Linked DNA regions of Macaca mulatta. The protein of the gene in region 1 purifies or fractionates together with the protein of each later gene. This does not show direct contact. Links are inferred from orthologs where the notes say so. Each region holds a gene or a part of one and is shown on either strand. Other genes may lie near its edges.

The links.
Region 2: the proteins of ZNF346 (region 1) and KRR1 purify together in Homo sapiens (affinity purification with mass spectrometry; 3 studies listed by BioGRID and IntAct, with this or other methods). This does not show direct contact. The link is inferred for Macaca mulatta from reciprocal best matches to the Homo sapiens genes ZNF346 and KRR1.

The regions. Positions count from the first base shown.
Region 1 is NC_133411.1:185,971,387-185,975,746, reverse strand, and holds the start of ZNF346 (zinc finger protein 346), read right to left. Parts: upstream 2,819-4,360; 5' UTR 2,776-2,818; coding exon 2,601-2,775; intron 1-2,600.
Region 2 is NC_133416.1:82,682,372-82,686,754, forward strand, and holds the start of KRR1 (KRR1 small subunit processome component homolog), read right to left. Parts: upstream 2,993-4,383; 5' UTR 2,958-2,992; coding exon 2,873-2,957; intron 1-2,872. UniProt on the Homo sapiens protein: Part of the small subunit (SSU) processome, first precursor of the small eukaryotic ribosomal subunit.

The DNA.
Region 1 (4,360 bases):
ACTAGAATGCCTATAATCAAAAAAGACAAGTGTTGTCAAGGTTATAGAAAAAGCAAAACCCTCATACATTGAAGGCAGAAATATAAAAGGTGAAGCCATTTTGGAAAAGTTTGGCAGTTCTTCAAAATGTTAGAGTTACGATATGACCCAGCAATTCCATTCTTAGGGATATACTCAAGAAATGAAACGTATGTTCACACAAAAACTTGGGCATGAATGTTCGCAGCAGCACTATTCACAAAAACTCCAAACTGGAAACAATCCAAATGTCTAGAAATAATGAACAGATTAATAGAATGTGTTATATTCATTCAATGGAATTCTATTTAGCAATAAAAATGAAGTACTAATACACACCATGACTTGGCTGACCTTCAAAAACATGCCGAGAGAAGCCAAACTCAAAAGACTACCCAAGACAGAAAACAGATCACTGGTTGCCTAGGGCAGGAGGTGGGAGTGGGGATTTAATATAAGTAAGCTCAAAGGAACTAATTGGGGTGATGGAAATGTTCTAAAACTGGACTGTGGTAATGGCTATACAACTGTACATTGGCTAACAATCATTGGCGATATGCTTACAATGGGCGACTTGTATGGTATATAAACTGTAACTCAATGAAGGTGCTAAGAGAAGAAAAAGAGTGAGTAGAACTTAATGTTGCAGGTGTCTACTTAGATTTCATATAAATGTGCGAGAAGTGAGGAGAACAGGGAAATGAAATGGGTCGTAACAGTGCCACTGTACACTCACATACACATAGCAGACAGTTCACTTTTTAGAGCACAGTGGTTTTCTGCTTCAAGATCTAGGGCAAAGGTCACCTTTTGTGCACCTCCAACTCTTAAAACATTCCTCAGCACTGCATCCTTTACATTACACTGGAACTGTTTTAGTGTCTGCTTCCTGGACTAGACTGCAAGCCTTTCCAGGGAAAGGACAATATCTTTCTCTGATACTCCAGCTCTGAAGCTCAACCAATTCTGGGTCGAGAGCAGACATCTGTGAATGTTTGTCAAATTAATGAAAGGAAAATTGGGGTAGAGCAAGGAAACTACCAAACAAGTTTGAAAGTAGGAGAGCCGGGTGTGGTGGCTCATGCCTGTGATCCCAGCACTTTGGGAGGTCAAGGAAGGCAGATCACTTGAGGTCAGGAGTTCGAGAACAGCCTGGCCAACATGGTCAAACCCCATCTCTACTAAAAATACAAAAATCAGCTGAGCATGATGGTGGTCACCTGTAATCCCAGCTACTCCGGGGGCTGGGGCAGCATAGAACTGCTTGAACCTGGGAGGCAGAGGTTGCGGTGGGATTGTGCCACTGCACTCCAACCTGGGTGACAGAGGGAGACTCTCTCAAAAAAAAAAAAAGGAAAAAGAAAAAGGAGAGAGGGTCCCAGAAATGGTATGTGTGTATATATTTATATATACACATATATGTAAATATACACACACATATACACATACACACACATACCATTTCTGGGGCCCTGCCTTTCTTTTTAATATATATATATATAAACTTAGGAGACAGGCTAGACTTGTTTTTAAATTGGAGAATTATATACCAGGGTATAGGTCTGTGTATCACCCCTAATTTAAACATATGTTCCTTAGATATGGTCCAAATTTCAATTTTATCCAGGGCAGTCAGTTGACAAATAGCATATTAAACTTTCCATGACAAGTCTGCTCAGCAAGCAAACAAATCACTGGAGAAATCTGATTTCCCTCCAGATACCTGACAGGGTTAGCAGAGAAGCCCAGATAGAGTTCTTGGACACTTGGGTTAGCATTAAGCAGCTGGCTCTGTAAAGGACGGTGAAGGGAGTCACACAAGAAGGTCAGAACAGCTCTTTCCCATCCTTCTCTTTCTTTCATCCCATCTTACCCAGTCTCAGGTCAAGTGCGCAGCAAGCTGGCACACTTCGGCCCAGAAGTGACCCCTGACGTGGCTTTGCTTATACTGTTCTCAGCAACTTTGGGTCAAGTGTAGAACACAAAGAAGCTGGAGTCAAAGCGAACCCAGACCAGTTTCTCAGTCTCCTTGTCCCCACCTTAGAATAAGGAACCCAGCAAGTAGAAGCCAGAGAGCTAAAAACGGGTAAGCCACGGCTCAGTCACCAAGACCAGGAGGAACCCGGGGGTAAGGAGAAGGCCTTCCAGAGCCCTCGGAAGTGTGAGGCCTGACAGAAGGGAGGCAAGAGGCTCTACGAGGAAATCTGGAGATTGGGACGATGAGGAGTCAAGGAGTGGCGAGGGGCACTCGGCCTGAATTACGGGGATGGCAAAGACTGTGGGTCTCCGACAAGCATAGGGATGACGATCTTCGAATTCGGGAAAAACTGCGCTGTAGTGACTGATGAAGGAGGAGGGGAAAAGCTCTGGGCCTGAGCGTGAGCGGCCGTGATCACCCTCAGCGCGCTGGGGGCCCGATTCTTGGGGTGCCCGCGCCTGAATGGGGAGCACAAGTCTGGGGGTCCCGGAGCGCAGCACGCAAGGAGGCGGGCCAGGGGGGTGTGACCGCAGGCGCTTCCGCAGCTCCCCGCGAGCCGCGCAGGCGGGTGAGGGGCTTCCTGCCTCCAAAGCCCCCGACTCACCTTCCTCCCTACCCACCGGCTGGGCACCGGACACGGCTTCCCACAGGCGGCGCGCCCTCTCGCGGTCAAAGCGCACCCCATCCGGCTCCTGGCCCTCTAGCTCCTCCGAGCTGTTGTAACGCCCGGCCCCTCCGCCGTCTGCGGCCTCCACTGTGGCCGGCGCGGGATACGCCATCTTCCCCGCAAACCCTCGCCGGTGGAGAGCCGCTCAGGCGCCTAAATATCGCGAGATTGGGGGAGTGGTACTTGGTCCGGCCAACAAATCTCGCGAGGTTTGGGCGCTGCCGTGCGGTACCTGGCGCTTATTTTGCTTTGCTACCTCTGGTACCCCCAGCGTGTGGTGTGGATTCGGAAACCTGTCGCTGATTCCGCAGCAGTGACACCCCCTCCCGGAGAGGCTAGTACGGTTTTGGCTCAGGACTCTCACCTTCCTCACGGTCAGCCCTTGATACTTTTCATTTCGTTCTCAAGGTTCCGTTATGTGGGAGTGTTTTCGCCATTTCATTTACAGGGAAACTGAGGCCCAGAACCTAGAAATGGTTAACTCAACAGTTCGCTGCTAGTAAGTAGTAGTACAGCTGAGGTTCCGTATTACTAATAATAGATTCTACTTGTTGAGTTCCAAGTGCCGGCTCCCAGCTCTGATTTTCCCTGAGACTCCGGACCTGTACACATCCAGTTGCCTCTTCCACAGTTCACTCGAATGGCTAATAGGCTTCTCCAATGTAGCTGTCAGACCCCAAATTTTATTTTCCAACCCCAGAGCTGCTCCTTCCCGTGTCTTTGGGAGCCATCATCTCTTGCCTAGGTTATTGTAGTAGCCACCTCATTGGTATTCACAGCACAGCAGTCCCAGGGATCCTCTTATGACAAGTCAGATCATGACACTTAGGTTCTCAAATCCTCCAACAGCTTCCCATCTCACTGTTAGTAAAAGCCAAAGTCCTTACTTTGACCAACAAGGCCCTGTACAATCTGACTTCACTTAACCTCCCTGATCCTGATGTATCACTCAGTCTCCAACTCCTTAATTCCTGTCCCGGTTACACAGGCCTCCTGGGGTGCATTTCTCCCATATATCTTCATGGCTCAGTCTCCCACTTCCTTCTCTGGCTACTGTATCTAAAATACCTTCTCTGGCTATCATCTAAAATGTTACTTTTCCACACATACTTCATGTCCTCCTTTCCTGCTTTATTTCATATATATTTTACTTTTTATCTTGTTTATTGTCTGTCTACCTACTAGAAGGCAAGCCCCAGGAAGGCAGGGATTTTTGTCTATTTTCTTTTCTTTTTCTTTTTTTTTTTTGAGACGGAGTTTTGCTCTGTCGCCACGTTGGAGTGCAGTGATGCGATCTCGGCTCACTGCAACTTCCGCCTCCCGGGTTCAAGCAATTCTCCTGCTTCAGCCTCCCGTGTAGCTGGGATTACAGGTACATGCCACTGCATCCAGCTAATTTTTGTATTTTTGGTAAAGACAGGGTTTCACTATGTTAGCTAGGCTGATCTCGAACTCCTGACCTCGTAATCGTCCCACCTCAGCCTCCCGAAGTGCTGGGATTACAGGCACATGTCACCGCGCCCAGCCTTTTGTCTCTTTTCATTGTACCTGAATCTCCAGCACTTTGAAATAGAACCTGGACCCTCCTAGGTACATACAAAATATTTGTTTAATGAATGAAGTTTTTAATATTACTAGCTTATTTCAACCTTATTTGTTCAAATACGGAGAATTTACTATGAGCTAGATGATATTTT
Region 2 (4,383 bases), on another chromosome or scaffold:
CATTCCTCTGTCATTATCAATTCACTGTATTAAAATTATCTGTACACACTTCAGTTGCCTCATAAGACAAAGTTCCTTAAGAGCAGAATCCCTCTTCATGCCAATTGGCATATGCCAGACAGACAGTGAGCACTCCAGAAACGTGTACTGCATTACACTACCATAAAACTGAAGATCTCAATGCCATTTTGTTTAGTATTTTAAATACAATTAACCTTTCTGACTTTCCTGGAGTGTATGGAACCTGGGTGTATGTGTTTGTATACAACTTCTGAAAGAGGATTCTAGTTTATCTTTCAGTTAATAATCTCGAGTAATTCTAGATTTTCCTAAGCGTTTTGAGTGCCTTATTTCCACATGCGTTTCATAACTATAAAAGGTAGAATCTGTATTATTCTCATTTTATAGAAGATAGTCTAAAAAGGCTAAGTGACTTGCCTAAGGGAACACAAAGCTGACTCAGCCTGGGACTCCTTTCACTACAAGAAAATGCCTAAGGGCCATAAATTATCTTCTGAATCATGTATTTAAAAAACGTGGTACTGAATTTTAAGAACTCCTTAAATTCAACAGCTATACTCTAATTCAGTTATACTAAAAGGTATGCTCCATAGACTTTCAGTATCAGTATAAACTGTTAAGTCTGTCAGAAATGCAATTATTGGGCCCCACTCCAGACCTACTGAATCAGAATCTCTTCGACAAGGGACAGAAGTCTGTGTTTTACCATGCTCAACAGGAGACTCTTAAGCACAGTAAAATTTGAAAAGCAGGGCATTACCCTATGTTATCAACCTCAGGTAAACTTTCTGCTTATACTCACATCCACTTTTCTATTTCTATTTCTGGTTCAAATCACAGACAATTGGCTAGTCTAAGGATTCTCCAATGTCCTTTAAAGAACACAAATTCCACAAAAGTGATTACTTGTGTATTATATACATTTTTTTTTTTTAAGACAGGGCCTCGCTCTGTCACCCAGGCTGGAGTGCAGTGGCTCCATCCCAGGTCACTGCAGCCTGGACCTCCTGGACTCAAGCGATCTATTCTCTTGCCTCAGCCTCGCAAGCAGCTGGTACTACAGGCATGTGCCATAATGTCTGGCTAATTTTTGTTTTTTTTGTTTTTTTTTTTTTTTTGGTAGGGAAAGGGTTTTGCCATGTTGCCCAGGCATATCTCCTGGGCTCAAGCAATCCCCCCTCCTCAGCTTGCCAAAGTGCTGGGATTACAGGCATGAGTCACTGCAACTGGTTACTTGCAATGCTTCCCTGACCAAGTCCCTATCCAATTTAAACACTTCAAAGGCTACGGATCAATTTTTTCAAAGTTCCCACTACAATCTCAGACAAAAAATTGACAAAAGAAATACACAGGAGTTTCACAATTAAGGAAGGCCCAAAACATGTGAAAAGATACGCAACCTCATAGGTGATCAGAAAATGCAAATTAAAACTGCAACCAGATCCCATTTCATACCTACCAAAATGACAGAAATTCAAAATTCAGGTAACATCATGTATTCATATGAATGTAAGGCAATGAGAACTTTCGTCCACTGCTAGTGGGAACAAAACTGACACTAGCACTTTGGAAAAAAGTTAGCATTACTTACACACACCCTACACTTCAGTAATTCCAATCCTATGTTCACAACCTAAAGAAACCCTTGAACATGTTAACCAGAAGACATGTACAAAGATGTTTTAGCAGTACTGTTTATAATTGCAAGCAATAGGAACAATCCAAATGTCCACCGATTGTAAAATGAAAAAAAAAACTGGGGTATAGTCATACAAGGAAACACCACATAACAGTGAAAAGACTAAAACTACACCTACAAGTATCACCCTGTTTGAAAAACAAAGCTAAATCTAAGACACAGAAAAATGCATACGGTCCACTTTCATGTATATAAAATTTAAAAAGAGGCAAAATTAAGCCACTTCGTGACTACAAGAAGAGGAACAGAATGCAACGCAATTCAGAGTGGTTACTTGTGACAGGAAAAGAGAATATGATCTGAGAAGTGCACGTAAGGGTTTGAGGGGTATGGTAATGCTCTATTTTACTTAACAGTCTGAATGCTAGTTTCTTGCATGGTTTTATTAAACTATATATAAGTTGTATCCTCTGCTATGTACGTTACATAATCATTTAATGAGCAACAACGAAGAAACCTTGAAAACTTTCCCAATGCATCTAAATTGAGAGTTCAATGTTTTTAACACTTCTATGAGCCTGGTTGAACAGATCCCCAGGCTATTTCTGACTTCTCTGTCATTCATACTGAAGAAAACGGGTAAAACCAGACCACAACGCAGGAGTTAACAATTAAAAGGTAGCACAACCTAAAGAGCAAGGGCTGTGTCGTCTAGTATTTTAGCAATCTGACAAACAGGAATTGATAAATCTTTCAAACTGTCTTTACTGACAAACTAGAGCTAAGGACATGTCAGATAGCTCCTTTCCCCATATCTCACCCCATTATCAGGGTCGACTCCTGTATATCAGAACTACCTGCTCCCACCTCACCCTATTCCTCATTCCGTCAATGACTTTCAGTCCCCTGCAGGCTACAGGGTTCCGCGGCGCCCTCGGCATTTTCTTAATAATCTTTTACAGAAGACGTATTCAGCAACGGCTTCGCTTTGGGGACCCTTTAGCAAAAGGAATGAATTAGGAACACGTGGGTGGCACCATATCGGCCAGTCGTTCCTGTGGGCCCAGCCAATAATCTTATCAGCGATTATTGTGGTACTTAAATACACAGTACAGGCTCCAGGTGGTTTTATAAGTCCACAAGCAATGAGAAAAAAAAACATCGCAACTCAACGTCCACAAACCCCAGCCTTCGGTTCCCACATAACATCACCTTGGTTCTCCGGCTTTGTCTTCTGGTTACGAAATTCACTTTTTCCAGCCCCTTTTTCTCGCCGCTCTAAAGAGGGAGACGCCATTTTCAAGCTGCTTCCGGTGACGCCGGAAATGAAACTGTTCTTAAATCCTACCGGCTAAAATGCCTACACTCAAAATGAGTTCCGCGGAACTCAGACGAGGAGATCTGCGCAGTTTTCCGTGCGTACGTGCGTTAAAGCCCGCGCTTTTACACACACCGGAGGTTCTCCTACGTGGCCAATGAAGAGCTGGAGACTTTCTCCCAGTATGCACTGCAACCATGGCGTTTGCGTACTGGGACTTGTAGTTTAGCAGGCGGTATAGGCAAATTGGACACTGTGTTATCCGCAGTTTCCTCGTGGCCTCACGGGCTAACCTGGACCACCGGAGTGCGACCAGCCTGTCATTGATGTCATTCATTCTTTCGATAAAAATTTATATGTTGGCCAAATATGCGCTAGATGTTGGGAGGAAGCACAAATATGAGAATACAATGTATATTGGGCCTCCGCTGTAAGAAGTGACAGGAATAGCTACTATTTATTGTGAGAATGCTTTGTTGCAGTACTTTATTTACATTATTTCTAATTTTAAAAACAATGACCAAATTAAACTTTCCAAAGTTGTTTATGATGGTAATCTTCCCGAGTGTTGGTATTTCTCTTTCTAAGTCAGAGGGATGGTAATTCAACATTCTGACGTTTCAGAAGTATTTCAACTAGCCTAAGATTTCTCAAAATCTCTACTCGTTTTCTACCCCCAACATTGCATAGGGCTAAGGTGTGTAGAGAGGTTCATCACTGACTACAAATAACTACACTTTTAGAAGTATAAAAGTTCTTTGACATGCCAAAGACAAGATTTTTTAAAATTATTGATTTTATTGCTTGCATTTCTAAAATTTTCTGCAGCAAATAGGGAAAGTCTTTGATAGGTTAAATTCCTTGCATTAGTGAAATACACGTTTGTCTGATAAATCCACTCTCGTGTATCTTATACAAAAATTTAGGTTTTCATATATGAGATCCATGTATGAAACAGATTGTTACATATGGACAGAAGAACCCAAACGACAGAGCAAAGGTTTTTTGCTTTTATCCTGTGCGTTTTATAAATGACAGGGATTTTATCTCTGTTCTTTTAATTTCCTCAAAAAAATAATGATAAATCCCTAAAATAGAACAAATAGCAACAGGTTAAAGTTATAAAGTGAAGAGTACACCTCATGAAGCAGGTTTTTATCATCCTTATTTTAAGTAACTCAATCACTAATAAGTGAAAGGCCCGTCTTCAAGTCCAGGCAGTTTGACCTAGCAGCTTCAGGGGGCTACTATTCATTAGGAGCTTCAAAAGTGTTAGAAAGAGGGCTGATAGGGGTGAAGGGGAGGGAATAGTGTAGAAGTAATATTTGTGTTAAAAGCCCTTTATTTTCTAGCAAAATTTTCTACATAGGCTTTTATTCCCATTTACATATATATTTTTAATCTT